4 linked regions of the Elephas maximus indicus genome follow. The protein of the gene in region 2 interacts with the protein of the main gene of each other region in a biochemical or structural test. Links are inferred from orthologs where the notes say so. Each region holds a gene or a part of one and is shown on either strand. Other genes may lie near its edges.

Evidence for each region.
Region 1: the proteins of BCL2L1 (region 2) and BIK interact in a test that uses a peptide from one of them, tested with the Homo sapiens proteins (3 studies listed by BioGRID and IntAct, with this or other methods). The link is inferred for Elephas maximus indicus from reciprocal best matches to the Homo sapiens genes BCL2L1 and BIK.
Region 3: the proteins of BCL2L1 (region 2) and BMF interact in a test that uses a peptide from one of them, tested with the Homo sapiens proteins (2 studies listed by BioGRID). The link is inferred for Elephas maximus indicus from reciprocal best matches to the Homo sapiens genes BCL2L1 and BMF.
Region 4: the proteins of BCL2L1 (region 2) and SIVA1 form a complex in vitro, tested with the Homo sapiens proteins (2 studies listed by BioGRID and IntAct). The link is inferred for Elephas maximus indicus from reciprocal best matches to the Homo sapiens genes BCL2L1 and SIVA1.

What each region holds. Positions count from the first base shown.
Region 1 is NC_064822.1:187,372,003-187,379,658, forward strand, and holds the start of BIK (bcl-2-interacting killer), read left to right. Parts: upstream 1-4,375; 5' UTR 4,376-4,436; intron 4,437-7,656.
Region 2 is NC_064843.1:37,711,215-37,719,328, reverse strand, and holds the start of BCL2L1 (bcl-2-like protein 1), read right to left. Parts: upstream 3,280-8,114; 5' UTR 3,072-3,279; intron 3,006-3,071; exon of another isoform or gene 1,960-3,005; intron 1,710-1,959; 5' UTR 1,586-1,709; coding exon 1,022-1,585; intron 1-1,021. UniProt on the Homo sapiens protein: Potent inhibitor of cell death. Inhibits activation of caspases. Appears to regulate cell death by blocking the voltage-dependent anion channel (VDAC) by binding to it and preventing the release of the caspase activator, CYC1, from the mitochondrial membrane.
Region 3 is NC_064828.1:15,925,017-15,932,590, reverse strand, and holds the start of BMF (bcl-2-modifying factor), read right to left. Parts: upstream 3,208-7,574; 5' UTR 3,095-3,207; exon of another isoform or gene 2,726-3,094; 5' UTR 2,598-2,725; intron 544-2,597; 5' UTR 539-543; coding exon 247-538; intron 1-246. UniProt on the Homo sapiens protein: May play a role in apoptosis. Isoform 1 seems to be the main initiator.
Region 4 is NC_064828.1:119,050,051-119,057,622, forward strand, and holds the start of SIVA1 (apoptosis regulatory protein Siva), read left to right. Parts: upstream 1-4,492; 5' UTR 4,493-4,566; coding exon 4,567-4,684; intron 4,685-6,549; coding exon 6,550-6,756; intron 6,757-7,336; coding exon 7,337-7,493; intron 7,494-7,572. UniProt on the Homo sapiens protein: Induces CD27-mediated apoptosis. Inhibits BCL2L1 isoform Bcl-x(L) anti-apoptotic activity. Inhibits activation of NF-kappa-B and promotes T-cell receptor-mediated apoptosis.

The sequences.
Region 1 (7,656 bases), on a different chromosome or scaffold from region 2:
CTCACTAACTGTGGACATCAGCTGCTGGCCAGATGTGCAGGGCACAAAGTGAAGGAGCTGCCCTGGCCAGCTGCAGAGGGGCAGCTGGATGAGCAGCTATTGGGATGCCCCTTTCAGGAGCCCTGGGCAGTGTCAGAGACTAAGGGCATTGTTTCCTCTCCAGTCCGCCTCCATATGGCTACCGGATTCCTCTTACTGAAGACTGCTGGGATCCAGTCCCTCTCTCCTGCTCAGAGGCCTTCCATGGCTCCCCAGTGCCCCTAGGACAATCTAGTCAAATCCACCTTTCCATCTGATCTCTTACTCCTCTCTTCCTCTTACCAGCAGAAATGCTCCAAACCAAAAACCAAACCCAGTCGCTGTCAAGTTGATTCCGACTCATAACAACCGTGTAGGTCAGAGTAGAACTGCCCCACAGGGTTTCCAAGGAACAGGTAGTGGATTCGAACTGCTGACTTTGGTTAGCAGCTGAGCTCTTAACCAGTGCACCACTAAAAAAAAAAAAAAAGGGCTCCAGAAATGCTCGCAGCTTCCCAAATTCACCCAACGCTTTCTTTGCTCCTGCTGTTTCCCCAACCTGAAATGCCCTTCTTCCCTATACCATTTGGTGAAAACCCAGCCCCTTCTCCAAGGTCCCCTCAAGTTCCTCTTCCTCCAGGAAGCCTTTCCTGATATGTTTGCACCGTCTCCGGAGCCAGATTTTAGTTTTCTGTCTCCTGAGGTCTTGGTCACTTTCAGTCTCGATCCTGCTCTGTATTATGTCTTGGCTTTGTCTGACTTGAAACTAAGCTTTTGCCATTGTCTCTGGCTCAGCTCAGCCCTGAGACAAGACACTCCCCACCCCACCCCCCCAAAAAAGATGTTTTCTGATTACTAAGTAAATACACGTTTATATAGAAAATCCGGAAAATACAGAAAAACACAAGGCGGAAAATTAACCCCCCTGTAATCGTTGTACCCAGAGAGTAACAGTCCTCCTGTTCTGTGGAGCTGTATTTCCTTCCCGAGTTTTTATATGTGGACTTAAAAAATACACGTTTCCACCAGACACACTGATTTGTGAAATGCGTTATTTCATTTAACAGACCACATGTCTCTAAGGTATAGTTTCTTTTGTGGACATGATAACTCTTCACCAGTTCTACAGTAACATTTACTGAGCATTGCTCTGCATTTACTGAGCACCTACTGTGTGCCAGGCCCCATGCTCTGCTTTAATCCTTAGAACAGCCCTGGGAGTGGAAAATCATTATCCCCATTTTACAGATGAGGAAACTGAGGCTCAGAGAGGCCCAGGCACTTGCCCAAGGTCACAGACGTTCTAGGTGGCAGAGTTGGAATTACAGGTGCCAAGTGACTGCAGAGTTCTGGCCCTCACCCATCAGGCTACAGATTCTCTCCCCAGAAAAGGCTTATATGACAACCGCAATTTCACTTTACTTTTGGAATTCACAGACTTCTGGAAGCCCAGTTACAGGCCCCCAAGTCCCTGTCCCCCAGGAACAGAACACCCTGGGTTCGAACCGCAGCACTTCACCTCTTGGTTGTGTGGCCTTGGACAGGTTAGGCCCCTCTCTGAGCCTCAGTTTCCTTATCTGTGCAATGGAGAGAATCATTCGTACCCTGCAAGGGCCATGAAGGGCACAAGAAATCACCCAGGTAACATGCCCAAAACACTGGGCTCTCAATAGCAGCTCACCCCACAAAGGTGTCCCCAGGAGGTGTCCACCAGGCTGACGCAGGTGAAATGCTATCATGAGGCTCAGGCCCTGCTTAGGTGAGAACAGCAAAGCCCTTTCATGAGTCCCGCCTTCCTGATGTTACAAAGCCTCCACAAAGCCTCCCCAAAGCCGGGGAGCAGGGGGATTTCCAGATAAGGTGTCAACCCAAGGCTGGGATGGCAAAAACAGAGCCATTTAAAACCTGCACTGGCTTCTGCCCCCTAGGTGGGGCCCTGGAGTGTGAGACCAGCACTTGGCCAACAAGTGCTTGTCCAGCCCTCTTTGTCCATTCTACCCCACCCCCTCCTTTGCTCCCCTCCACCCCCTACCGCGCTTCACTCTCCTTCATGGAGGCCTTGCTTGTGCCAGGCCTTGCTCCCCTGGCTGCAGGCGCCCCATCTTCCTGTCCGCCACTCGCATATGCCATCTCACGAGTCCCATCACCAACCCCCGTGTCTGGCACCATAGTAGAGGTCAATCAATATTTGTGCAATGAAATGGACAGATGAAGTCATAGCAAGGACAAAACCCAACCTGTAGTGGGCGTCAGAGGGTCCACTGGGCAGGGGTCGCTGAACAACAGACAGATGTTGTTGGGGCCACAGCAGGGGGGCTCGGCTGGGGCTGGCAGGATCCAGAGGCCCCCCAAGGCAGCTCCTCTAGACCAACGCTCTCAGCATGTTTGCTGAGCACCAACTGTGTGCGTGGTACCAAGCCTCTGATCTCTCTGGAAGTATTCTCACATACATTGAGGCTTCTTGGCCCAGGAGACCCCGAATCGCTGCTTTCCCTCTCTCAGTCTCAATTTTTTCATCTGCAAAATGGGTGTAGAGAGAGGTTACTATTTTGTAGGGCTCCTTGTTCCTGCCTCTCAGGTGCCCTGTGGTTATGGTCCAGTCAAGGGGTTGAGGCCGTCCAGGCTTTGCGGGCCTGGAGTTTTATGTAATTTGGAAGACCCTCCTTACAAAAAACAAAGCAAAAAAAGTTTGTCATTGAGTGGATTCAGACTCATGCTCCATAGGGTTCCGAAGGAGCAGCTGGTGGATTTCAGCTGCTGACCTTTTGGTTAGGAGCCCAGCTCTTAACCACTGCACCACCAGGGCTCCTCTTTACAAAAATAAACAAAAACAAACCCATTGCCATCAAGTCAATTCCAACTCACAGTGACCCTGTAGGACAGACCAGAACTGTCCCCTGGGTTTCCCAAGGAGCGGAGCTGGTAGATTCGGACTGCCAACCTTTTGGTTAGCAGCTGAGTTCTTAAGCACTACCACATCAAAAAGGTGCAGAAAATTACAGACACACTATAGGTTTGGCTTGGAAAGGGGTCTGAAGAACGAGATCCAGGGAGGGGCACTGACGTTTAAACTCCCCTCCAGTTTACTAAACATTTTCCTCTGATCCTCCCAACAGCCCTGCAGGGGCAGCGCCAGGCCCCTTTCACAGATGAAGACCCCGAGAGAGGAGTTATCAGTGTCATCACTTCAAAGGCGCTAAGAATGAGGCCCCTACAGGTAGCAAATGCGAAGCCAGCTGGAGGCGAGACCCTGTGGATGCCTGGCCTGTGCGGTAAACAAGCTTGTTGTTGTGTTCCCGGGACAATGGTAACTTTGTTACCCCGTCACCCCTCCACCCATCCAAAGCCTCCGCTGCAGGGCTCCTGGCCTGGGGGCTCGGCACCCTCCCCACCCCAGGGCTAGTCCGGCCTGGACCTTTCTTGACTTCTCCTCCTTGGCGAGGTTGTGGGCACTGTCTCATCCCGGCCCCCACGTGGGCCGCCCGGTGCCTAATCGCCCCCTATTTTCCCGCTGTCGCGAGTCTCAGGGCGGGAGGGGGGCTGCGGTTGAAGCCTGCACAGGGGCGGGAGGGAGGCGGGCAGGGTGGAGAAAAGCCCCCAGGCTTTGGTTCGGGGTGCTTGATGCTGGCTCTAGCCCAAGCCTCAGCTTCCACCTGTGTGAAACGGCTTTAAAAAGTCCAGACTCCTGAAGGTGTCTGCACAGAAAGTACGACGTTTTGAGCGCTGAAATCACTTACCATGAAGCCAGTCATTTCATTCTCCCTGTGCCTCAGTTTCTTGTTCGGGAAAATAAACATGAAAAAGCCCCGATCCCTTAGGACTTTTTTGAGGACGAAGCGAGGCGATCCGTGGCACGAGCCTTGATTGATCTACACAGACCCAGATGAAGTTACCGGGGCCTCCACAAACATTCATTTCTCTGGGCCTGCTGGGTGCACGGCCTCATGCTGGGCGCAGGGAAAAGAGCAGCGCAAGGGACAAAACAAGCTTGCAGATTAGCGGAATCAGAGAAGGTAAACAAGTAAACAGATCACACTTGTAGCAGCTCTGTTGCCACTCCTGCCTCAGTCTTCTCATCTGAGCAATGGGGCAGGGGAGGCCGCTCCCTGGGGCGGGGGGAAGGGCGGGGACGGGACGGGTCTGGGCCTGGGGGCCTCGGGTCCCGGCGGGCGGGGGTCGAAGCGGGGTGGGTGAACTAGAGGCCCCAGAGCGCCGGGCCGGCCGGGGCCGGGTGGAGGGCTGCGGGGGGCGGTCGGGTCCGGGCAGGCCCTGGGGTCGGGGCGGGGCCCGAGGGGCGGGGAGAGGGCGGGTCCCGGCGGGCCTGTACGGTCCCTCGCCGGCAGCAGAGCCGCAGACAATACGCTACCCGGCTCGCGAGCCCCGGACGCAGCCGCCGCCTCCGGTGCCACCGCCGCGAGGTAAGTCTGAGCCCCGGGCGCCCCGGCCGTGCCCGGTGCCCCGCTGGCATCCGCCCCTGCGCCCGGCCAGAGTCCGGCGGGTGGCCGATGGGGGCCGTGGCCCAGGCTTTTCCGACCTGAGAAGTGTCGGGTGTGTCTGCGGGGCGACGTCTCGGGACCCCGGATTCGCAGCGCCCCCTCTCTGGCTTGGGACTCTGGGTACTGTCATCCGACTGCGCCACCCTGCAGGCCTCAGTTTCCGCATCTGAGCAGTGGGGTGACGCCCCTGCGCCCGGTCGCTAACGCACCACCTGGCTGCGCGGCCTCCCTAGGCCGGGCTCTGATTTCGGGGTGCCTTGGCGGGGGGGAGGAGGGGCCAAGGGCACGGAGTCGGATCCCAGCCCAGGGCCGTGCCGGCAGAGACCCGGTGTCTACTAAAAAAGGGAAGATGGCGTCGGACACCTGTCCCCGCCGGGACCCGAGGCACCCCGAGCCGCCGCAGACCTGCAGAGGCGACGAGCCAGGCTTGATTATGGCACACGGGAAAGCCCGGAACAGGGGCTGCCACCGGAGCCGGGGCGGCCACCGCCCGCACCTGCCCACGCCCCCAGCACAGGTGCTTCCGCGGGCGGAGCTGGGGCGCGAACCCGGCGTGGGGGCCTGGCCTTGTTTTGTCAACACAGAGCCACGGGCTCTCGCGCGCTTAGCATTTGAATGGCCGAAGCGGCACGTTCCGTCCAGTGGCCCGGGAGGGGGTCCCCGCTGCCTGCTATGCGCGGCCACAACAAGCCCTGGCCGGCTGGGGACTTGTTGCACTTTCGCAGTCTGGCTTTGGACTCCTGCTTGCGAATCGGCTGTGTAAACCATTAATTGCTACTTTGATATTCGCTGGAATGATCCACCCCAGGAGGGAGGTGTTGTTTTTGTTGTTGCTGGCGTTGGAACATTTTCTGAGCACCTGCTGTGGCCGGGGCCCGTGCATGTGGCTTTCTCTGGTAATCCTCGCTCCAGTTCCCCTAGGAGGGAACACTGTTAGCCTCATCGTTCTCGCATTAGTAAGGGGCAGTTGAGCCCGGCGCTAGGTCTGGTAGGGCAGGAAGCTCCTAACGGCGGTGCTGGCCGCCTGCAAGGACAGGAAGCCTCATTTTACAGATGGAGAAACCCAGAGGGGAATCCCAGAACGCCTTACGATTGCTCTAGCTCAGAGCCCAGAACTCTTTCCTGGAAGTCAGGCCAAGCCTGCCTGCACTCTCCACTTTCCAGCTGTGTGGCCTTGGACAGGCTGCTGCACCTCCCTGAGCCTCAGTTTTCTCATTCTGTAAACCGGGGATGATGGTAATACCATATTCTAAAGGAACACCCGCCCACGTGTTGGTGGCTGTCAGTGATTCCTCTAGGGTCACCATTCACCCTTTCTCCATTTACGTTGAGTTTCTTGAGCACTTTGGCCTGCTCTTGGAATAAATTCTCAGGAGTGGCACAGTTTAATCTCTTGGTGAAGAGTGAGGTACAGTGGATCTGAGACACTGGTGGGCCCCCTCTCCCTAGGCCCTCCAGGGAAAGGCAGCCACGGGAGCCTTCTGCTGGGCCTGGATTTCACTGGCGCTGGGGCAGGTGTGAGCTGCCTGGCTGTTACTGCTCCCTGCTCCTCCCACGTCTCATCAATTGCCCACTCTTCTCTCCTTCTCACTGAGGATGTGAGAATTGAAAACTATCTTCTGAACTTTTAGGTCATGGACTTGTATAGTTGTGGTTTCTTCACACCTTGCCTGTGTTAGGTTTTACAATTTTTCTTTATTTTTGCTATTTTTAAAAAATGTTTAAAGTATCTGGGGAGACTGGCGAGTTTTAGGTAGCTAGCAGGAATAGTAACAGGGCGTGTTGGTGGTCTAGCGGTAGAGTTCTTGCCTTCCATGCAGGAGACCCAGGTTCGATTCCTGGCTAGTAAGCCTTGTGTACAGCCACCACTCTTCTGTCGTGAAGGCATGTGTGTTGCTAGAATGCTAAACAGGGTTCAGTGGAGCTTCTAGACTAATAAGACAGACTAGGAAGAAAGGCCTGGTGATCTCTTCCGAAAATTAGCCAGTGAAAACCCTCGGGCTCACAAAGGACTGACCTGCAATTGACCTTGGGGATGGCGTGGGACCAGGCAGTGCTTCGTTCTGTTGTGCACGGGGTCACGGTGAATTGCAGGCAGCCAACAACAACAACCAGGTACAATAACAGATAAATGACATCTGGATTCACCGAGCTGTTAGCAGCTCTTTTTTTCACTTCTGGTCGTCTCTCTTGAAACAAGCGAAGGGTGGTAACTGGGAGAGTTTGATCCATCAGTGAGCTTTGAAGCTGAAGCAGCCAGCAGCATTTTTCCCTGTCCCTGGAAAGTATCCTGTTTTTAGCATTAAGTTTGTGGACAATTAATGGCTTCTTGCTTCCCCTGCCTCGGACTTAGTGGATCTCAGAACAATTCCGAGCAGCGATGAGGAAGCTCTTGGGTTTTGTTGGCGGCAGCCTCCAGGAAGCTGACAGTGGGGTCTGCAGTGGCCATGTGCACCCGCTTCCTCGGCCTCCCTTTGTCCTCCAGGGCTGGGCCCTGGGAGCAGCACAGACTGTCAGCAAACCAGTGCAGGGACCCAGGTTCCTGGTTGGCTCAGAGGTAGGCGGGAGAGAGGGCAGGCGTGGTGGCTAGGGTGCAGGCCGGGTGGCAGGCGGGCAGCTGATTTTCCTAGTGTCAATACAGGGATGTGACAATACAAAACACTCTCCGGGCCTCACCAGGCATCGCACACAGAACCTGTTTTTCCTGAGGTGGGAGAAAACATGGTGCCTACCTGGTCACCCGGATAGACAGCAAAACTCAGGGGCGAAGGAGGAAGCCCACCTGGTTATTTCAAGGAGGGCCACTGTCACTTGAATTTTTTAAATTGAGGGGTTTTGACACTTTGTTGCCCTCAGCAAATTGCATTTTTTAATTTTGCTTGTTTTTTTAACTTTATTTAAATGGAGACGTATAGAATGTTATCTTTTACGTCTAGCCTTTTTCCTTATGTTTGTAAGAATCGTACTGTGATGGTTAATGTTATATGTCAACTTAGCTAGGCCATGGTTCCCAGTATTGTGTAATTGTTCTCCATTTTATGAACTGATGTAATTGTCCTCCATTTTGTGGTATCGTGTAATTATTCTCCATTTTATGTGTAGTAAATCCTAAACCTCCGTATGTTAATGGGGCAGGATTAAC
Region 2 (8,114 bases):
AAGGCACTGTGCTTACATTCTCTCCAAGATTTTATAATATGCTGCAAGGCAAAGAGAGCTTACCATATTTTTTTAGTGGGACAAACTGAGGCTCAAGAAGGTAAACTGCCCTGTCCAAGGTCTCACAGCTAGTTAAGTGACAGGGCTGGGACTCACACCTGTGTTAGTTTGTTTCCAAAGTCTGTCACCAAATTGCAATGCTCTAGAGAATCCCACAGACTGGGTTCTTGCTTTGCCATGAGTGCTTGGTGAAGAGGCCCCAGAACCCTGGCCGGAAAGCAACAGGCAGAGCAGCTGGAGCTCTCCAACCGACCCCAGGCAGTGAGGTGCAAAGTCCCCAGGCTTAATGCATGACACAGCAAGAGCTCCACAAACATACCACTCACGCAGAAAGTTGCACACTTAGGGGTGTGGTGCAAACAAAGGCTGGCACAGCCTACACTGCCCTAAAATAAGACAATCTTCAGCCATCCAACACGGTGGTGGAAAGTTTTGCCTGGCCATGCCCTATCCTGAGAGGAAAGTACCACACAAGGAAACTCCAAAATAAAGGGAACTTGTTTTGGGGATGGTTGACACCCTTGGGGGAGAAAAGATGGAGGGGTTTGTGGACCACTGATGCTCAGTCTCTTTTGCACGCATTATACTCATTACCTGTTTGGGTGGTGAACCATTGTGTCAGGGTGAGGAAACACTGGACTAACTTCCCACTTGCATAGGTTTTGACCTGAATGAACACATAGGCTATGTCTTCCTTCACTGAGGTACTGAAGCACAAGTATGAAAAAGTAGGGTCATGAAGATGACCAGAATGAAAGATGCCAGGTCCTTCAAGAACTAGGTCATCTGTATTTCCTAACAGTTAACTCCTTGTAGTGAAATGAGGCCAGTCACATCCCTGAACCAGCAACATCTCCAACCATCACCCAGCACAAGAGAAAGAGATACAAGGGAAAGGCTATTGAGGATCTCTCTGACCAGAGGCCAAAGAAATGGGACACACAAGGGGCGTGGTCCTTACCCAGCCGCCGTTCTCCTGGATCCAAGGCTCTAGGTGGTCATTCAGGTAAGTAGCCATCCAAGTTGCGATCCGACTCACCAATACCTGCATCTCCTTGTCTACGCTTTCCACGCACAGTGCCCCACCGAAGGAGAAAAAGGCCACAATGCGACCCCAGTTCACCCCATCCCGGAAGAGTTCGTTCACTACCTGCTCAAAGCTCTGATATGCTGTCCCTGGGGTGATGTGGAGCTGGGATGTCAGGTCACTGAATGCCCGCCGGTACCGCAGTTCGAACTCATCGCCTGCCTCCCTCAGAGCTTGCTTCACTGCTGCCATGGGGATCACCTCCCGGGCATCCAAGCTGCTGCTGTGGCCAGTAGCTCCATTCACCGCAGGGCTGTCTGCCAGGTGCCGGGATGGGTTGCCATTGATGGCACTGGGGATCTCCATCTCGGATTCAGTGCCTTCCGAGGCCCCAGTCCTATTCTCCTCCACATCACTAAACTGACTCCAACTGTATCCTTTCTGGGAAAGCTTGTAGGAGAGAAAGTCAACCACCAGCTCCCGGTTGCTCTGAGACATTTTTATAATAGGGATGGGCTCCACCAGTCCATTGTCCAAAACACCTGCTCACTCACTGAGTCTGTCTCTGTTAGTGGTTCTCCTCTGAGATCCAAAGCCAAGATAAGGTTCTGAAGGGAAAAAGCTTCAGGGGAAAAAAAAAATTAATATGTATGCCATCTCCCCACATCACATTCCCCCTCCGGGTACCAGAGCTGATTGTGTGGCTCTTATGACGGTCTGGGTCTAGCTTCCAGGAGACTTCGAAAAGTCAAATGGAAAGCCCCAGTGGGCTCTGAATCATCCACCAACCTCTTTCACTCTAGCCACCCCCTATTCTCTGAAAAGCCTTCCTCAGAAAGTCACCCTCACGGGCAGTCCCCCACACCACCTACATTCAAATCCGTTTCAGGCAGCGGCAGGCAGGTGCAGCCCCCGGAAGATCTTTTGTATCATAGGTCGCGAGGGGAGGTGGCGGCCGAGATGCCGGTAACTCAGCCGGCCTCGCGGCGGCTGGCAGAAAAAAAAAAAAAAAAACCAGCTCCAGCCGGAGGGCTCATGCGAGCCGGCAGGCTGGAAGCCCTGAAGGCGACACTGGAACCGCGGCGCTCAGGAACCGGCTCCCTCGCTCGCTTCCTCCTCCATCGCCCAGACCGAGGGCGGCCGCTCCGCCGCGGCGGCCTCCTTCCACCGGGAGCCCAGCCCCCTTGCTCTCGCACGCCCCTTGGCTCTCCGCCTCCTACCGGGAGCCAGGAGAACTCCCCCGGAGGCGGCTGCTGTGCCGTTTATTTATTTATTTATTTAAAGGACCAGCTCAGGGTGAAGCTTCTGAAACCCTGCAGGGACTTCTCAATGGGCTCAAGGTTTCGATGAGGGGAGGAGGAAGGAGGAAACAGCCTCGGATGCGCGATGTGGCTTCGGAAAGGCCATCCCCGGCCCTTTCCGGGAGGCTGAAGGCCGGGGGCCCCCCACAAACGCTGCTGGTTTTCTTTGAATTCCCCAATGGCCCTGGACGTGGCGGTGGTAGTAGGGGATTGCCCGGTCCTCCATTCCCCGCCCGGACACAATGGCCGCCGGCGCCGTGCACAAAGACCGGGTGACGGTGAGGCGCCCGGCTTCTCGGGTCGGAAAGTGGGGTCGAGGGCCGTTCGAGGCCCCCCACAGCCGAGACCACGTTTTCCTGGGGACAGGCCCACGGCGGTTTCCTGCCGCCCCCGGGAGGGCTGAGGGGCCGGGGGGGCTGCACCTCCGAAGCCCGGAGTGGGTGGGCTGCGGCCTCGCGGCTTCTCCAACAAGCTAGGCCGGGTACCCGCCAGGCCACCGCCCTGTTGCTAGGCAACCTTCTTTCCTCAGGGGCTCCCCCTAGACCTTTCTGGGAGGAGGGGTCTCGCCCCTGGCGGCCGCCCTACCGTAGCCAATCAGCGAGCCCAATAGGCACGGGCGCGGGACGGCGAGGGCTCCCATTGGGCGCAGCGCCTGTCACGCGCAGGGGAGGCGGTGCTCTCACCTGCGAGACCCGCGAGGCGTGGGGGGCCACATCCCCCTTCATGGGCCTGGTAGTTTCCAGACACGGGAGCTCTTCGCGACTGACTTCCGTGCCGCGGACCAGGGCCCGCCTACCTGGCTGACTGCTCTTGCCGTCTCTTCCCAACAAGCCGGCCTCAGTTTCCCCTGAAGAGACCGGGGGAACTTGCAAGCTCAGTCACTTCCGGTGCTGCGGCAGCGCGCGCGAGCCCGAGACGCAAAGGGAGTGCGCGCTTTAAATGACTGGCGTCAAGGCGTGGGAGAGAGCGCCCTCTTACGGAACATCTGGGGAATTCGAAGCCTTAAATCAACATTTACATTCACACATTCATTTATTCATTCCGTCTCTTTCATCAACCTGTTAATTTGTATGTCGAGAAAGCGTCACATTGTGGCTGAAAACAGAAGCCCTGATGGCGCAGTGGTTAAGCAATCTGCTGTTAACCGAAGTATTGGCAGTTGGAACCCACCAGCCGCTCTGCGGCTCCGCAGGACAAAGACGTGACAGTCAGCTTCCTAAAGATTTACAGTCTTGGAAACCGTATGGGGCTGGGGCTGTTCTACTGTGTCCTATAGGGTCGCTATGAATTGGAAACGACTAGCCGGCAATGGATGTGGCTGAGAAACTTATCTCTGGGGTTCCGACTTTGCCACTTGGACAAGTTACTCAGCTGCTCTGTTCCTCAGTTCCCTCACCTGTGAATTGGGTAATAGTACCGACTTTCTACGTAGGGTTATTGTGAGGATTAAGAGAATTATTATTTGTAAAGTCCGGAGAACAGTGTGTATACCATAGTATGTGCTGTGTAAGTTTATTCAACAAATACTGTTTGGGTTGCTGAAGATAGAGTTAGGAACAAGACAGATACAGCCCGTTTTCCTGGAGGCTTAAACCATTTTTTTTTTAAACCATAGAGATGGAGAAAGACAGTAAGCAACTAAGAAAATACACAAACAAGATAATTTCAAATAGTGATTGGTACTAGGAAGAAAATAAATTCGGGGTATTGTCATAAAGAGGGCCAAGGAAGAGAAGAGGTGCTGTTTTAGACAGGGTGGTCAGGGGAGAGGCATTTATTCACAATTATTTATGTAGGGTAGCTAGGGATTGCCTCTTTGAAGAGAAGACGTTGAACCCAAGACTAGGAGGATAAGAAAGTGCCAGCCTATCCGAAGAGGCTGGAGAACATCAACCTAGGCAGAAGGATAGCATGTGCAAATGTCCCGAGGCAGGAAGATCTCCACACATGCCAGAAGCTGAAAGTGAAGCAGTATGGCTGGAGAGTAGTGAGAGAAGGGTATAGTGTGAGAGGAGATTAAAGTTAATCACGGAAATGAGTTGGAATTGATTCTAAGCATGGAAAGGTATGTTAATTGATTAAAAATAGGTATATAGGAACACTGAGTATTAAAAATGTACAAAAGCACGTGAATGAAAAGCAAGTCCTCTTTTCACCCCTGCTTTCAAGTCCCTGGTTCCCCTCACAGAGGCTATCACCTTTTCCCATGTAGCCTTTCAAAGATGGTTGCTATATTCAGGAGCTTATTTATATGTATAAATGTTTTACACAAACAGTAGCATGCTACACACACTTATACACCTTGTTTTTTTTCACTGAGCTCTACATTTTGAAACTGCCTCAAGTTTTTAAATTAATGCACAACTTTATAAAGACATGCTATAATTTATTTGCTCAAGCTCCTATTTAGGAACATTTAGATAGACTCCGCAGGCTGCCAGAAGAATGAACAAATCTGTCTTGGAAGAAGTATAACTAGAACGCTCCTTAAAAACGAGGATGGTGAGACTTGGTCTCACGTACTTTGGACATGTTACCAGGAGGGACTAGTCCCTGGAGGAGGACATCATGCTTGGCAGGAGGACATGAAGCACTTACTGATGAAGATCAAAGACTACAGTCTTCACTATGGATTATAACTGAAAAAAAAAAAAGAAGCCCATTACTGTCAAGTTGATTCTGACTCATAGCAACCCTATAGGACAGTAGAACTGACCTATGGAGTTTCCAAGGAGCACCTAGTGGATTCGAACTAATGACCTTTTGGTTAGCAGCCGTAGCACCTAACCACTAGGCCACCAGGGTTTGGATTATTCCTCAACATAAACACAAAACACAAAAATAAGTAACATCATGATAAACAGAAAAGATTGAAGTTGTCAAGGATTTCATTTTACTTGGATTCACAATCAACACCCATGGAAGCAGCAGTCAAGAAATCAAATGACATATTGCATTGGGCAAATCTGCTGCAAAAGACCTCTTTAAAGTGTCAAAAAAGCAAAGATATCACTTTGAGGACTAAAGTGCACCTGACCCAAGCCATGGTATTTTCAATCGCCTCATATGCTTGCAAAAGCTGGACAATGAACAAGGAAGCCCGAAAAAGAGTTGATGCCTTTGAATTTTGGTGTTGGCAAAGAATACTGACTATACCATGGACTGCCAGAAGAATGAACAAATCTGTCTTGGAAGAAGTACAGTCGGAATGTTTCTTGGAAGTGAGGATGGAGAGACTTACTTTGGACATGTTACCAGGAGGAACCAGACCCTGGAGAAGGATATCATGCTTAGTAGAGGATCAGCAAAAGAGAGGAAGACCCTCAACAAGATGGACTGACACAGTGGCTGCAACAATGAGCTCAAACATAGCAATGATCGTGAGGATAGTGCAGGGTTTCGTTCTGTCGCACGTAGGGTCGCTGTGAGTCGGAAAAGACTCGACAGCAGCTAAGAACAACAGGTAGATTCCAATCTTTTGCTATTACGAATAATGCTGTCACTGGTCCATTCATTATTCTGCATATGTGGGAGTTTGTCTGCAAGGTAAATTCTTGGAAGTGAATTACCAGGTAAATGAGTAAATGTATTTTTTTCTTGCTTTTAATGGCTATTGGCAAACTGTTCTATACAGCAGTTGTACCAGGTTACTCTTCCATCAGTCAAGTATCATACTGCCTATTTCCTCACACCCTGGCCTACACAGTGTGATACCAAACCTTTTGATCCTTGCAAATTGGATAGGTAAAAATTGAGAGGTACTTTTATTTTTCAGTCCCTTTATTATAAGTGAAGTTGAGCAATTTTTCATATTTTCGAGCGATTTTTTTGGACTTGTGTTGGTAAATTCTCTGTTCATATCATTTGCCCCCTTTTCAGTGGGTCTTGCTGTTGAACTTTTCCCTCATTGATTTATAGGGGTTTTTATCCCTTTTCCCCCATATGTATGAGTTGCAAATATTTTTCTGGTTTTATTACTTATTACCATGAAAAAACTTTTAGCTTCTATATGTTTTATCAATCTTTTTCTTTGGGGCTTCTGGGTTCTGTGTTATACTTAGAAAGGCCTTCTCCAGTTCAATTTTATAGAAAGAATTCTACATGTTGTAGTTTTACATGGCTTCATATTTTACATTAAAATTTTTTTTCCACTGTAAATTCACTTTGGCATAAAGTGTGAGTAAGGATCCAGAATTTTTCCCCCAAATAACTACCCAGTTAGTTGTCAACACCATGTATGGTCCCATCTTTTCCCATTCATTTGAAATGTTTCCATTATCATAAATTACATTCCAATGTGTATTTGGGTCAATTTCTGAGCTTTCTATTCTGTTCCATGGGAGGCTTTTAAGCTGGGGCAGGACATGATCTCATTTACATTTTTAAAATCCGTGGCGTCACAACAATTTCTATGTTACGAGTACCATTCTGGGTGGTGCCAAGAGTTAATGAGCTTGGCTGCTAAGCGACCAGTTGGTGGTTTGAGTCTTCCCAGAGGCGCCTTGCAAGAAAGGCCTGGTGATCTACTTCTGAAAAAAATCAGCCATTGAAAACCTTATGGAGCAGAGTTCTACTCTGAGACACATAGGGTCGCCAGGAGTTGGAATCAACTAGACAGCAGCTGGTTTTAAGTGTGCTACGGGAGTCGCTATGAGTCGGAATTGACTCGATGGCACTGGGTTTGGTTTTGGTTTTATGGGAGCCCAGCAGAGGGTGGGATCAACTGTGCCCCGAGGTGCAGGCTCTGTTGAGCGATCCCTGAAACGAGAGTAGAATTTTGTCTGAGAGAGAAAGGACATTAAGAGCATTTCAGGCAGAAGTCACAACAGTTGGACACAAAAGCCCGCAATGTGTCCTAGGAATAAACTGGGATGCTTGAGAGGGGAACAGTGGTAGAGGAGATTGAAGGTAAATGTGTGGCCACATGTACAGGTCACTAAGTAGCAGCCAGGTTTTTTTAAACAAGGAAAGGACATGAAGAGATTTATATTTTGGAAAGATAGAATACATCGTGCTAAGGTCTCTGTAATCCTCCCAGACGGTTAAGCACTTGACTACAAATTGAAATCCCATCTGGATTTTGCTGACTGCATCCTTGTGATGTCAATTAACCATACTTTAAAAATAGTGTAATTTTATAGAGTTAGTACTTATTAGATTTGTTATGACACTTTCCTATGACACTTTCCCCTCTTTATTATTAATAAACTTAAAAAAAATATTCTTAAAAATTCAGATGCCACTTCTTGTGCCTTTCCTCTTCCATATGAATTTTAGAATCAACTCGCCAAGTTCCATGACAAAATCTCTTGGGATTTTCATTGGGATTTCCCTGAACTTTTAACATCTTTACAATAATATTTTCCCATCCATTAACAAGGATTTATGCCAAAAACCAATCCCATTGCCATCAAGTTGATTCTGAATCACAGTGACCCTATAGTATACAGAGAATGACCCCATAGGTTTTCCAAAAGTGTAAATCTTAACAGAGACAGAGTGCCAAACCTTTCTCCTGCAGAGCAGCTGGTGGGTTCAAACCACTGACCTTTAGGTTAGCAGCCAAGCACTTAACTGCTTTACCAACAGGGCTTCTAAACAAGGTTTATAACCCAATTCAATGATTTTTTAAAAGTTATTCAATAAAGTTTTACAGTTTTTAATCCTGGTGGCGAAATGCTTAGGTGGTAGGCTGCTAACGGAAAGATTGGCAGTTCAAACTCACC
Region 3 (7,574 bases), on a different chromosome or scaffold from region 2:
AGGATCCCTCTGAGAAGGGACCAAAGAACAGAAAGAAGGGCAGGACAGTTTGCCTCCTTGGGGCCCGAGTAGAACCGGTGAGAAACAATACCAAGCAGACAGGCAGGAGGTAAGAGTCAAGGAATGAACTGCCCCTGCTGCTCAAATTGGGGAAGGAAATAATAGCAAAGGGCAGGTTTGGGGAGGGAAAGTCCCCTCTCTCCCCCCAACTTCTATGGGAGGAGTTCTGAGGCTAAGAGCACTCACCATAAAAGAGTCGCTGGGGTTCCTCGGTCACCCCACAAGGCAGCATGACACCCTGGCTTGGGGAGGCTGGGCTGAGGGTCTGAGTTGCCTTGTCCTCCTGGCTGGTGTGTCGAAGCCCAGGGCCACAGCAGTGGGTGAGAGGGAAGAGCTGAAGCCGGCTGAGGGGGCAGTCCAGCTGGCTCTGGGCAAACAGGTCAGCAGAGAGCAAGCCCCCGGGCTGGGTCCCAGGCTCCCCCTCCTCTGGTTGGAATACATCATCCTCCAGCTCCTCCACACACTGAGATGGCTCCATCTCCCCTGTCAGTGAGCAATGCAGGCATCTGGGATGCTGCCCCACCCAGGCCATACCTGAAAGGACTCCTCTCCTCTCCCCTCCCTTCCTTCTTCCCTGCTCCCCCCTTCTTTGAGGGAGCTGGGCCAGGGTCTGATGACACACCATCCTGGCAGTAAAGCAGCACCAAGGGTGACACCCACCCCCAAAGTGTGGACTGCTTCAAGTTCAGGGACTCTCCACACCCCTTCCCTGGGCCACCTTCCCCTCGGCCTCTTCTTCTGACCCAGGCCAGTCAAGAAGCTGGACTCAGAGGGTTGTGAGCCATGGCAGGGGTAGATCAGCTGCTATGGGCACATAGGGTAAACTGGGGAAATGTAAACAGGGCTAGTCTCTGAGCCGCTGGGGTGGGGAGGGCAGAAGGGTGCTACAACCTTTCTGACTGGCTGTACACACAGTGCGCACAACACACACACACACACACACACACACACACAATCACTGTCCTAAGGTAACCACCGAGCTTTCAGCTCAGTCTGAGCGGAGCTCCAGGCGCAGGAGCAATAACAAAAGCCTGCAATCCTTCTGCAGCCAGGTTCCCTCCAAACCTGCTAAGCCCCGCCCTGCTGGCCATCAACTCTCCACCCTCCTCCACCCTCCACTTACTCAACACAACAAACCGGCTCAGTGGTGTGGTAAAAAGCATGTCTTGGGAGAGGGAAGGGAAAAAGGCCCACCAAGTTAGTCACTGCAGCTCTCAGGAGGGCAGCAGAGCTGTCTGTCCACCACTGGCTGGCCAAGAGAGCAGGTCCAGTATCTGGGAAAGTGTCCAGCCAGCTCAGACTACGCACTAGCCTCCCGGACTGCAAATCCCTGTCCCCACAGCCTACCATTCTTGGCAGCGCTGAACCTGAGATTGGTACAACCTGCCTCACAGAAGGAAGTGAAATTCGGCCCTCTCTTTGTGACCTCACTAGCTGCCTGTACTATTCAAGTTGTTGATATGAGTTTCTCGGTGATAAAGAAGTTCCTCTTGCTCCACCTGATGGCTCTTGGAAGTCTGCACTTGGAGCCACCCAGCATCTTCTGCTCCCAGCCCAGCCCCGGTACACACACACACACACACCCCAGGAACCCCTTTGCCCCTGGGGCCAGGAGCATCAACCACCTCTGTGGTTAAAGATATGGACAGACAGTTTGTCACTGTCAGACTCAATTAGAGATCTCTGGGGATTCTGTCCCCCAGTCTCTTGCCTTTGAAGAACAAGTCAAATGGTTTGCGGGTTGGTGAAGTACTTGAAGGAATCTCAGTGTAATTCAGAAATCCTTGTTCACCCAAATACACACTCTCTCTTGGGTGCTTGCCTCAACTCTCCCTCCCTGAGCTACCTATGGTCCTGTCTCCACCCTCCTCCCTGGAGAATGAGATGCCTGCCAGGATGGCAAAGCAGGCACTATCTTAGGATAGTGTTTCCCAAAGGGGAGGGCACTCCAGCTTATCAGCACCAGGAAACAAAGTTTTCCGTTGAATGGACCAAGAGCTGTCCTGCCAGTCACCTGGCAGGGGCTTCCCTCCTGCCCTTCAACCCAGAGTGATGGCTACAACCTAAGAGGGGGCCCTCCAAGGGGCAATCACAAGCAGGAGTCATTGTCTGGTTTTGCCTTTGAAGCCTGTCACCTACCTCTCGCCCAGGCAAAGCCCCAAAGTTAGACCCTTGCCTGGGCTGGAGAGTGGGGGAGGTGCAGCCAGAAGGTGTGGCTCTGTAAACCCCAGGGACCTCTTCCACTCCCCAGGTACTGCAGGTGGATCTCCTGTGGTAGAAGGTCCCGAGGCATGCTGGGCAAATTCAAGTTTAAGCCAGAATAGCGCTTAGAAGAGACCTTCTGCCTCTTCCCCTGAGCTGAAGAAGCCATGTCCTGACCGGTGTGAGGGGGACACTTCCTGACACCACCACGAGGGATCACAGCCTCTAAGGGCTCTAACAGGGATGCTGAACTTAGGCTCCTCCCAGGAGAGAGCAGTGACTAGACACTGGTCCTTGACTGTGGCTAAAGTCTGGGAACACACACACACACACACCTGGGTGACTCCAGGAAAGAGTGTCAGTCTCCGGGTCGTGACGCCAGGGCTCCGCGCCAGGGTCCAGCGTGACGAGCACTCGGGGGCTTGGCGCCCAGATTCGATTGGGAAGGAGGGAAAAAGCTCAGCTGTTAAGGAGAGGAGGCTTCAGGCTCCGCAGGACGCCCACAACTTCCCGCTCTACCCCAAAGTCAGACCCAGAGGATGGGCCGTTCTTGGGCGCCCAGGTCCGCTCAGCAGTGCACCCCCTCCTGCCCACCAAGACCCAACTCCTCCGAATCCCAAACGCTACCCTCAAGTTCCCTCTTGCGGCAGCGCACCCAGATGTGGGCTGTGCACCCCGTTCCCGTACCCCAGCGTCCCAGTACTTCATGGTCACCCCAAACGCCCGCAGCCCAATTCTTCCCGGGCCCCCACGCGCAGCGCGACTTTGCTCCCCACTTGCCCGAGGAGGTGCGATCCAACTCCGCCCAGCCCCCGGCCGCCCGGGCGCTCACCGGGCAGCGGCGGCAGGCGCGGCGAACGGACGGCGGCGGCAGCAAGCGCTGGCGGGCGCTGGTGGACGAGACTCAACACCGTGCGGTATTGTTTCCAAAATACCCCCGCTCGGGGCATCCTGCAAACAGCTGATGAGGCTCCGCCCCCTGGGGCGTCACGCCGAGGGCTGGCCAATGGCGAGTGAATCCCCAAGTCCCGGGCTGGGCGGCTGCCAGGGACGGTCACGAATGTGCGAACTTTCCCTTGGAAACATTGCAAGGGGCCGAGCAAAATTCCGACCTCCGCCAGAAGCGCAGTTAGAGCGCCGTCCTCCAAACAGATTCAGTTCTAAGGCGGGCTCAGAAGCAGCAGAAGAACCAGAGAGCCCTGCACGTATTGCCCATTGCCTTCGAGTCCATTCTGACTCCTAGCGAACATACAGGACAGAGTAGAACTGCCCCACAGGGTTTCCAAGAAGCGCCTGGTGGATTCTAACTGCCCACCTTTTGGTTGTCAGCCATAGCTCTTAACCATTACGCTGGGGCACCAAAGTGACTTTCGTCCAGGGCTTTGAACCGGTTTGAACCGGTTCGGCAATGGACAAGGAAGCCTAAGCGGAACAGACCCGAATATTTACAATGTGGGAGGTCCAGAAAAGGAAAAATTAGAGTGGAAGCCCTGGAATGGGAGACTCAGAAGAGGTGTAGGGATCTATTTAAGGAGCCTGATGGTGAGATTGAATTATGGCAGGACTGTGGAGGGCGACACCTTCAAAGCAGCACAGTCAGCCCCCAAATTTGATTGGGGCACAGCTCTTCCCGACTCTGCTCAAAATCTGGAGAGAGATGGTTGCTATGCAATGCATACTGCTGCCCTTGTTTTCTAAGAGGGTGATTAGGTTTCTAACAAGGCTTCCCCGCCTCCCTTTCCCACCCCACCCCCCACCCAGTTCACCCAAATTTTAAAAATTCAGGTTTGCTCTGAATTCTCTTCCGTGGCCAGGACTGAACTGGAAAGAACCGGTTTAAAACCGTGCTTTCAACTTTTCTTTCTGGGGAATGGGCTGGGAAATTGTCATGTCCAGAAACCAAGGTAGGAGGGGGCAGGAAGCTTTTAGACTCGACAACGTTGATCTGTGGGTGCAAGGTGGATCCCCGTCTGGTGGCAAAGCGTCCTTCCACCTGTGGGGTGATTCAGGGCAAAACTCTAGCTCCAAATCTGTGCAAAGCTGTTACTGAGCACCATTTAGATCAAACACATCCAAAGGGGCTCTTATGTTCTCTTATTGACTCGGCTTGGACAGTTGCAAAGTAAGCATCTGGCATGAGGAGACCTGGTATCAAGAATGCAGGGGTTGCTAGACAGGCATCCTGTCTATGGTGCGCTGGGAGGACAACATGACCTGCAATGGGCTACTTCACAAACCTTTACTGAGTGCTTACTGTGTGCCAGGTACTAGGGATAGGTGCCAAAAACCTGGTGCCTGCCCTCATGGAGTTTACAGTCCACTTGGGGTAGATCTGAAGATAATGGAAAGCAGCCCAAAGTGTGTTCATTCCAGGGATAATGACTACTGGAGCATGCAGAAAAATTCAGAAATGCAGACTTAGGAGATGCCTCTTCAGGGAGATGGCTTTTGAGCAGGGCCTTGAAGGATGGAGAAAATTTTTATAAGTAAAAACCAGTTGCTGACAAGTTGATTCTGACTCATAGTGACCCCATTATCAGAGTAGAACTGTGCTCCATAGGGTTTTTCGGTGGCTGATTTTTCAGAAGTAGATCACCAGGCCTTTCTTCCAAAGTGCCCCTGGGTGGACTTGAACCTCCAAACTTTTGGTTAGCAGCTGAACACATTAACTGCACCATCCAGGGTCTCCTCAATAAAGAAAGCTAGATTAAACAGCCCAGGCCTAGGGACAGCAGAATAAGGTGCTGAATTGGAGACCGTGTCCCGGGGAGCAGGGTAGGCTCAGTCACTGGATTGTAGGGTGCACAGTGGGATTTAGGAGGGGTGGGCATGAGCATGTAGGCTCAGGTCAGATTACAGAAGTGCCTCTGGAATGCCAAGCTGAGGAATCTGTACTTTATTCTGGAGGCAAAGAGGAACCAGCAAAGATTTTATAGACCTTGAATGACTTCCTCAAGCCTGAATTTTGGGACAGATAAATGAAGAGTCCAGAAATCAGTGAGAGTGAGCCAGTCCTGAAATAGACTGGGTGAACAGCGATGGGGTCTCGACCATCTAGGGGTGGTGGGGATTGATGGTGCATTGACCACCAATTTGCTTGCTCTCTCTGGGTTGTAGACTGTCATGGATTGAATTATGTCCCCCCAAAAATATGTGTATCAATTTGGCTGGGCCATGATTCTTGGTATTGAATGATTTTCCTATATGTTGTAAAGCCTGCCTCTATGATGTTAATGAAGGAGGATGGGCTGCAGTTGTGTTAGTGAGGCAGGACTCAATCTACAAGATTGGATTGTGTCTTGAGGCAATCTCTTGAGATATAAAAGAGAGAAGCTAGCAGAGAGACAGAGGGACCTCATACTATCAAGAAAGCAGCACCAGGAGCAGAGCGCCTCCTTTGGACCCAGGGTCCTTCCGTGGAGAAGCTCCCAGTCTTGAGGAAGATTGATGAGAAGGCTGACAGAGAGAGAAAGCTTTCCCCCGGAGCTAATGCCCTGAATTTGGACTTCTAACCTACTAGACTGTGAGAAAATAAATTTCTCTTCGTTAAAGCCATCCACTTGTGGTATTTCTGTTATAGCAGCACTAGATGACTAAGACATAGACTCAGACAGACTTGAGTTCAGTGGGTCTGGGACCCTCAGCCCAGTGGAGCCTAGAGTCTCCTTTTTCCTACCCATTCTTTACCTAACTCCCTCAGAGGGCACTTGAAAGTGAGTGAAGCAAGCAGACTGGGGGCTGTGCTTGCTGGAGTAGGAAAATCCTGTCCCCAAAGGACAGAGAATAGGGAAAAGGGAAAGAGGGAGGGCCAGTTTTGGCCGGCAGCCTGGTACCCCCAGGGGTTGTTAGATGTCCAGCTAGAGGTGGTTGGAGCCAAAGGGAGGTATATTATTTTACCAGGAGGTTTGGCCAAGGGGGAGTGTCAGAGCTGGTCAGGGTGACCTTGAACTCATGCCACATATGGTAGGGAGATGAGGAGACCGAGCCCAACCTCCTTGCAGGAGTTTGGAGAGCCCTCCATCACTTGCCAAGCACACAAGTCCCGCCCCTCCTTCCTTCTGTCTTTTCTTCTTATTGGCTTTCCTCCTGGGCCATTGTCTCAAGCGACCAGTAGAGCCCATGGCATTACTAAGAGTCAAGAGTAGAAGTGAAGGACAAAGAATATCTGAATCTGCCTTCTAGGGCAACACAGGCCCTGCTGGGGGGATTGTCATAACTCTCCGCTTTAGCAAAACCTAGCAAGGTGGAATTGGGTCTACGAGGCAAGGAAGCCGATAAACCAAGAAAACTAAACCTGTTACCATTAAGTCAATTCTGACTCATAAAGACCCTATAGGGCAGAGTGGACCTGCCCATAGGGTTTCTAAAGAGTGGTTGGTGGATTTGAAGTGCCAACCTTTTGGTTAGCAGTCAAGCTCTTAACCACTGTACCACCAGGGCTCCAAGGAAGCTGATAGAGGAGGGTTTTTACCTGGGATGCATGTATTCACCACACTCACCAGGATCATCTGCTTTAGGGTCTATGAACCCCTGAAACTGGGCTCAACTGTTTTTTCATGAGTGCACGCAAACATTTTTCTGTGTGTAAGTGTGTATATGTGTGTTTGTGTGTGTGTGTGTGTGTAGGGGATGGCTTCATAACTTACAACAGATTCCCAAAGGGGTCTGTAACCCTATAAAAGATTAAGAATCATCATTGTAGGGGGATGAGAGCCCGACGAGGCTAGAGAGCAGCAGAGGTCATCTTAGTGGGTCTGGGAAGCTTGCAAGATAGAGGAGAGCTACACCCTCTGGTGACATCTTTTGTAAGGCTTCCTTTCCCAGGGCTTCCCATCTTGTGCCCTCAGGCTGGTTCTGAAGGACACCCCGTGGTGGCTTGGCCTCCTGTGCTCTCAATCTCTAAGGTCAAGCAGCAGGCCCGGCCTCCTGAGCTGGAAGAACCAGAGAAGATTGCCAGGGATAAAGGGGTCAGAGAGGTCAGGAACCTCACTCCCCAGCTTTCATCACCATCAAAGCAGACCCCTCCCTCAGTGCCCCTTTTCCACTTCCAGCACAGGGCAGACTCAGCAGTTCGAGGACCTGCTGGGTTAGAGAGCTGGGCTCTGGACCCTCTCACTAACAGCAGCAGACGACCCCTAGGCGTTTGACTGGGCTCAGAGCAAATGCACATTGCAGCAATAGCAATCATTATGCTGGAGAATTTCCTTTCTCTCTCTCTTCCCACCCCTTGCCCCAATTTGTCTTCTCTGCTGCTGACTGATGCTACCTCTGGAAGGAGGCTCCCCAGGGAAAGGCAAAGTTGTTCTGAAAGG
Region 4 (7,572 bases), on a different chromosome or scaffold from region 2:
GCTACCCATCTATCTAGACCACTGCTCCAGGGGAAATACAGGGTTAGGTTCCTGTGAGCCTCTGGTCACATTTTCATCAATACATAACCTTATTTTATGTACGTTTCTATTTAAAGACATCCTATTTAATATATATTGTTGACTCATTAACACTGAACTCAGGGCCAGCAGCACTGTAACTCACACCTGAATGAAGCTTTATCTAACACGTGTGTTTTCTTCATGAGGCTTTATCTAACACGTGTGTTTTCTTCACGAGGCTTTATCTAACACGTGTGTTTTCTTCACGAGACACATCACAGCCTTCCTGTGCTTAGGAACACTCAACAGCACTTCAGCACAACGCCTGGGGGCCATTTTTAAAAACAAAATTTTATTGTGCTTTAAGTTTACAAATCAAGTTGGACTCCCACACAAAAACTTATAAATGCCTTGCTATATACTCCTAATTGCTCTCCCCCTAATGGGATAGCACTCACCTTCCCTCCACTCTCTCTTTTCATGTCCATTCGGCCAGCTTCTGACCCCCTCTGCCCTCTCATCTCCGCTCCAGACAGGAGCTGCCAACATAAGTCTCATGTGTCTACTTGATCCAAGAAGCTCATTCTTCATCAGTATCACTTTCTATCCCATTGTCCAGTCCAATCCCTGTCTGAAGAGTTGGCTGTGGGAATGGTCCCCGTCTTGGGCTGACAGAAGGTCTGGGGACCACGATCACTGGGGTCCTTCTAGTCTCAGTCAGACCATTAAGTCTTTTTACAAGAATTTGGGGTCTGCATCCCACTGCTCTCCTGCTCCTGCAGGGATTCTCTGTCGTGTTCCCTGTCAGGGCAGTCATCGGTTGTAGCCAGGCACCATCTATTTCTTCTGTGCTCAGGCTGATGGAGTCTCTGGTTTACATGGTCCTTTCTGTCTCTTGGGCTCATAATTACCTTCTGTCTCTGGTGTTCTTCATTCTCCTTTACTCCTGGTGGGTTGAAACCAATTGATGCATCTTAGATGGCCACTTGCTAGCATTTAAGACCCCAGATGCCACTCTCCAAAGTGGGAGGCAGAATGTTTTCTTAATAGATTTTATTATGCCAATTGACTGAGATGCCCTGGGGGCCATTTTAAACAGCAAAATTACTAATTTATTTATATACCACTGCTTTTCAAGGTGCATCGGCTTAAAATGTATTTTTTTAATGCTTTACAAAATGAACAGGGAAGGTAATTAGGTAAGATGAGCCAAAAAAATAGAAAACAAGCTGAAGCTTTAGTGAATACACAGAACTGCAAACCAGAGAGCAGCTGTCCTAGCCCCCTCCTCTCCCACACCTTCCTTGGGTTGGGGCTACAGGAACAGAAGGTGGGCTGTGGGCTGCGTGCAGTTCAGGGAGCTGGCTCTGACTACATCCCCATCCTCCCGTTCAAAAGAGCATTTTAGAGCCCAAGTGAGCGCAGCAGCCATTATTATTGGAAAAGCCATGAATTAGCTTTAATTCACTTTTAAAATAAATCAGAATCCTGCTTTTTAACACTTTAAAGACGTCTTTTGCATCAGATTTGCCCAATGCAATGCACTGTTCGATTTCTTGACTGCTACTTCCCTGGGTGTTGATTATGGATTCGACTAAAATGAAATCCTTGACAACTTCAGTGTTCTCTCCGTTTATCATGATGTTGCTTATTGGTCCAGTTGTGAGGATTTTTGTTTTATGTTGAGGTGTAATCCATACTGAAGGCTTTGGTCTTTGATCTTCATCAGTAAGTGCTTCAAATCCTCTTCACTTTCAGCAAGCAAGGCTGTATCATCTGCATATCACAGGTTGTTAATAAGTCTTCCTCCAATCCTGATGCCATATTCTTCATATAGTCCAGCTTCTCAGATTATTTGCTCAGCATGCAGATTGAATAGGTATGGTGAAAGGATACAACCCTGATGCACACCATTCCTGACTTTAAACCACGTGGTATCTCCTTGTTCAGTTCCAACGATTGCCTCTTGGTCTATGTACAGGTTCCTCGTGAGCACAATTAAGTGTTCTGAAATTCCCATTCTTCACAATGTTATCCATAATTTGTTATGCTCCACACAGTCGAATGCCTTTGCATAGTCAATAAAACCCAGGTAAACATCCTTCTGGTATTCTCTGCTTTCAGCCAGGATCCATCTGACATCAGCAACGATATCCCTGTTTCCAGGTCCTCTTTTGAATCCACTTTGAATTTCTGACAGTTCCCCGTCGATATACTGCTGCAGCTGCTTTTGAATGATCTTCAGCAAAATTTTACTTGTGCGTTATATTAATGATATTGTTCAATAATTTCCACATGCAATTGGATGACCTTTCTTTAGAATAGGCATAAATATGGATCTCTTCCAGTTGACTGACTAGGTAGCCTTCTTCCAAATTTCCTGGCATAGACGAGTGAGCACTTCCAGGGCTGCATCTGTTTGTTGAAACACCTCAGTTTGTATTCTGTCAGTTCCTGGAGCCTTGTTTTTCGCCAATGCCTTCAGTGCAACTTGGACTTCTTCCTTCAGTACCATCGGTTCCTGATCATATACTACCTCCTGAAATGGCTGAATGTCGACCGATTCTTTTTGGTACAGTGACTCTGTATTCCTTCCATCTTCTTCTGATGCTTCCTGCATTGTTTAATATTTTCCCTGTAGAATCCTTCAATATTGCAACTTGAGGCTTGAAGTTTTTCTTCAGTTCTTTCAGCCTAAGAAATACTAAGTGTGTTCCTCCCTTTTGGTTTTCCATCTCCAGGTCTTTGCCATGTCATTATATTTTACTTTGTCTTCTCGAGCCGCCCTTTAAAATCTTCTGCTCAGCTCTTTTACTTCATCATTTCTTCTATTTGCTTATCTACTCAACATTCAAAAACAAGTTTCAGAGTCTCTTCTGACAACCATTTGGGTCTTTTCTTTCTTTCCAGTCTTTTTAATGACCTCTTGCTTTCTTCATGTATGATGTCCTTGATATCATTCCACAATTTGGTCTTTGGTTATTAGAGTTCAATGTGTCAAATCTATTCTTGAGATGGTCTCTAAATTCGGGTGGGATATGCTCAACGTCACACTTACCCAAATAATAGATTAGCTTTTAAAATTAACACTATCACCTTTGAGTAATGTGCTCCCTTAAACAATTAACCGTATGAGACCAAACAGTGAAGAGTTACCCAAAAGCAAAGGTGAGAAGCCCAGAGGGGCAAGGAAGCTAGATCAATGGAAACAGAACAGAATAGAAATGAGAATGCTGATGCATTGTAAAAATTATAACCAAGGACACAGAATAACCCGTACGAAAATTGTTAAAAACCCTAAAAAACCAAACCCCAGTGCCGTCGAGTCGATTCCTACTCATAGCGACTCTATAGGTCAGAGTAGAACTGCCCCATAGAGTTTCCGAGGAGCACCTGGCAGATTCGAACTGCTGACCCTTTGGTTAGCAGCTGTAGCACTTAACCACTATGCCAGGGCACCTAATTTGCTGTGTAAACTTTCACCTTAAACACAATATTATTAAAAAAAAAAAAAAAACAGTAAAACCAGTTACTGTGGACTTGACTCCAACTCATGGTGACCCAACGTGTCAGAGCGCAACTGTGCTCCACGGGGTCTTAAGCGGCTGGTTTTTGGAAGTGGATCGCCAATCCTTTCTTCCGAGGCTGTATGGGTGGACTCACACCTCCAACCTTTCCATCAGCATCCAACGCTGACCCTGAAGCTAACCGGGTCTCCCCCATAACGGAGGACCCCGCGCCCGACCGGGTCTCCCCCATAACGGAGGACACAGCCGACACCCAGGCGTGGACGTCCTCGGGGCACGTGCCCTCCGCCACGTCAGTGCCGGGAAAGGAGGGGAAGGGGTGCCGGCCACGTGGACCCAGTCCCTGCGGCGCTGGTCCTACATGACTCTACTTTTCTGAGTGCTTGGAGGTTTTCAAAACTAAAATTAGAAAAGGATGAATTCTCTTCAAACTGCGATAATTTAAACACGGAAATAAAACCCGTATTCAAGGTGTTAAAAAAAAAAAAAAAGCTGGAACGCCTGGCCTCTCCAGCGCTTCCGAGTCCCGCCCCCTGACCTCTCCCCCGGCCTATCCTGCGCCTCGAGGTGCACAAGTCCCGCCCCCTCCCGCCCTCGGCCTGTCCCTCGCCACGCCGTGAATCAGTCCAGTCGCCGACCTGGCCCAGGCCTATCCCGCGCTGCGTTTGCTCAAGTCCCGCCCCCGACGCATTCTACCCGCCCCTTGACCTGGCCCCCGGCCTCTCCCGCGCCGCGCCGCGCACTAGTCCCGCCTCCCGACCTCACTACGGCCTATCCCGCCCCGCAGCTAACTAGCCCCGACCCTGGACCTCGCCCCGGCCTTTCCCGCGTCGCCGCTTCCCGCCCACCGCCGGACGAGTCCCGCCCCCTGCCCTTGCTCCGGCCTATCCTACCCCGCGCCGCGCCACTGCGTGCCCGAGCCCCGCCCCCGCCCCGGCCGGGGATTGGCGCGCGGCTGTGACATCAAGGGTCAGCGACGAGGCGCGCGCCGGCCGAGCAGCGACCCCCGGCCGCGGCCATGCCCAAGCGGGGCTGCCCCTTCGGGGACGTCGCCCCGCTGCAGCTCAAGGTCCGCGTGGGCCCGAAGGAGCTGAGCCGCGGCGTGTGCGGCGAGCGCCACTCCCGGGAGGTCTTCGGTGAGCTGGGGCGAAGGGCCGGGCTGGGCGGCCGCGGCGCGGGAGGCCCCCGGAGGCCCAGGACCCGGAGCCCGCGGGCGAGTGCTGCCCCGGGGCCGCCGGTCTCCGGGCGTGGGGTCCGTGAGCACCGGCAGGGGAACGGGCCGCTCTCGTCGTAGCAGCCGGCCACCCGCGCAGCGAGCGGGGCCTCCTGCTTGCGGCTCTGGGCGGTGCGGAGGGGCCGACGGGCTGAGCGGCAGGAGCGTCTCTCCTACCCGGGCGGTGTTCGTGGGTCGCCGCCCCCGCCAGCGGCCCGGCGGGCGCGCACGCGGGAGGACTGTCCGGAGGGACCAGAGCGGGCCCGCCAGCTGAGGACCTCGGTGACGCTGGAGAGGGGCTCCTGGGGTGCAGAGGGAGCCGGGTCCGGCAGGGCGAGCAGGAGAGAGCCTGGCAGAGACGGAGAGGTCAGGGCAGAGAGAAGGGCAGAGGCCGGGCAGAGGAGAGCCGAACAGTGTCTGGTAGCCACGGCTCCCCCTGGCCGCACCATCCCAGTCAGGGTGGGTCGTAGGGACGGTCAGCGCTCAGGATTTGGGGCGTGCTCCGTGCTGATCATCGCTTCCCACTCGCGGTGATTGATACCATGGGGCAGGTACAAAGTGGAACTTACCCTTTTGGCTGGGGCACGGGGTGTTTGTAATTGAGGGGCCGCGTGTGTTTCAGGGATCTGGGAGGGCGCCTGGCCTTAGGAGAGGCCCCCCTCCTTGAGGCTCCAGCAGCTGGTTCTCTTCTCTTGCTGGTCCTTCCGCAGCACCAGCAGCTGCTCTGCCTTTTCTCCCCTTGTACACTAGGTTGCAAAGTCAAATGGGTTCTAAGGCTCTGAGCCGCTAGACAACCACATGTACGTGCCTTAGATATAAAGATGTTCAAACACTTCAGACTGCAGGCAGAGACAGGATTCCAGAGAATCGAGGCTTGTCAGGGACTTGTCCCTGGGCGCTTATAACTAAGTACAAGACGAAGGTTTGAGCTCACATGTACCCAGCTCTGAGCCTGAGCCTTCACCCCAACCTCTTTGCCACAAGCCCCTGAAGACAGGATTGGCCTCACCCCGAGACTCTTTCCCACCGTGGCAGTTTATTTTATAAACGGTGGGCACTGGGTGGCTGGGTTGTCATCGCCACTGCACTTGAGCTACTCCCATTCCCTCTGGTCCATCAGCTCCTCGGTAACCGGGCCCCCGCCCGGCTGTTAGGGCAGGGTGAGAAACCAGAGCCGCACTGGGTCTGCGACTGCTCCCCTGGGGACTCTGTGGCCATGTAGGGAGGTAGGTTCTAGGTCCCACAAAGGGCAGAAGGGGGTGGGCAGCTTTTGTTGGGACCCATTGTTGGGGTGCCTGGGCCCCACTCTACTGCAGGTGCAGGGCGGCTGGCTGGGGGTTGGCCCAGGCCAGAGTCTGAGGGCTGCTTATTGGTGGGGAACTTGTTCTCATGGCCTGTTCTCCGCAGCGGGGGTGCTCTGTGCCAGATGCTGAGCTGTTTGAGCAAGGAGGGGGCAGGGGCACACAGCCGTAGGTGAGGCCCCCATAGGTGAGGCCAGCTGGGAGACCCTGTGCCGAGAGCCGCTGTGGGAAACGAGCAGTGATGGGAGGGTGCGGGTGCAGCGTCTGGAGCCTTCCTGCAGGAGATGGCGGCCAAGGCCAGGCACCGAAGGGAGGGGAGGACCCAGCTCACCAAAGCATGGCGGAGGCCAGGGTTACAGATGACACAGGGCACAAAGGGCCTCACCCTGCCTACTGGAGGGACCCTTGTGGGGCTCAAAGGACAGTGTGGCTGTTGCGGGCTTTGTAGACCGATGGTGTCAGCATGGAAATTTCGTGTCTTCTGCAGAAAGGACCAGGCAGCTCCTGTTCCGTGGAGCCCAGGCCTACATGGACCATGTGTGGGATGAAGGTTCGCCAGAGAGCTGCACCCTTGTCCACCTGCCTGAGTCCCCGAAGCCCAGCCCCACAGGTGTCCCAGGGGTCACCAGTGGGCAGATGCTGATCGGACCGGGTGGCCGCCTGCTGAGGAGCCATGTCCAGGCCTCAGGGGCCGGTGAGTGCAGCCACGGCAGGACAGAGCTCTTCTCCAGCCATGATGCTGTGTCCAGGGCTCTCCACCAGCGTCTCTCCTGCCCAGATGAGCAAGGATCTTGCAGGTTGGGCGGTGCTGGGGATACTTGTTACCATAAGTTCTCAGTAGATCCCCAGATTTGGAAGTTGTCACACAGTTTCTAACTGTCGGGCCAGAAGGAGCAGAGACACCCCTGAGCGCCCCTCCGCTGTCCACTCTGGCTCTCCCTGGCTCCGTCATCCCAGAGGTAGAGAACACTGATTGTGGGCCACGTAAACTTTGTCCTGCTCTGTACAGCTGGCTGGGACCTCGGGTGTGGTTCTTACTTGTGAGATGCCATGCTTATTAGCTCCAGGAGTGTCAATGGGGGGTCCAGTGGAGATGTGAGGGTAGGCTTGGAGTGGATGCCCCACAGGACACAGCTTCAGGTGGTCACACCATGTGTCTCTGACCATGGGAGGTGATGCAGCATGAAAGGCTCCCACGGAGAGTCCATGGCCAGTTGTGGGTGGAGGTGGTGCCATCCTCATGGCCGACGAGTTATGGTATTTTTTCCTTGCAGACCCATTGGAGGCAGTGTCCAGGGCCTGCTCCTCGTGCGTTCGCAGTGTGGACGGAAAGGCGGTCTGCAGCCAGTGTGAGCGCCCCCTGTGTGGTCGGTGTCTGCGCACCTGCTGGGGCTGCGGCACCGTGGCCTGTGCCCTGTGCTCTGCCGTTGAGTAAGTGCTTCACCTCCGTGTCCCCACAGCTCGTCCTCAGGAGCACATCGTGCAGGGAGGATGGGGGCAGGACCCCAGC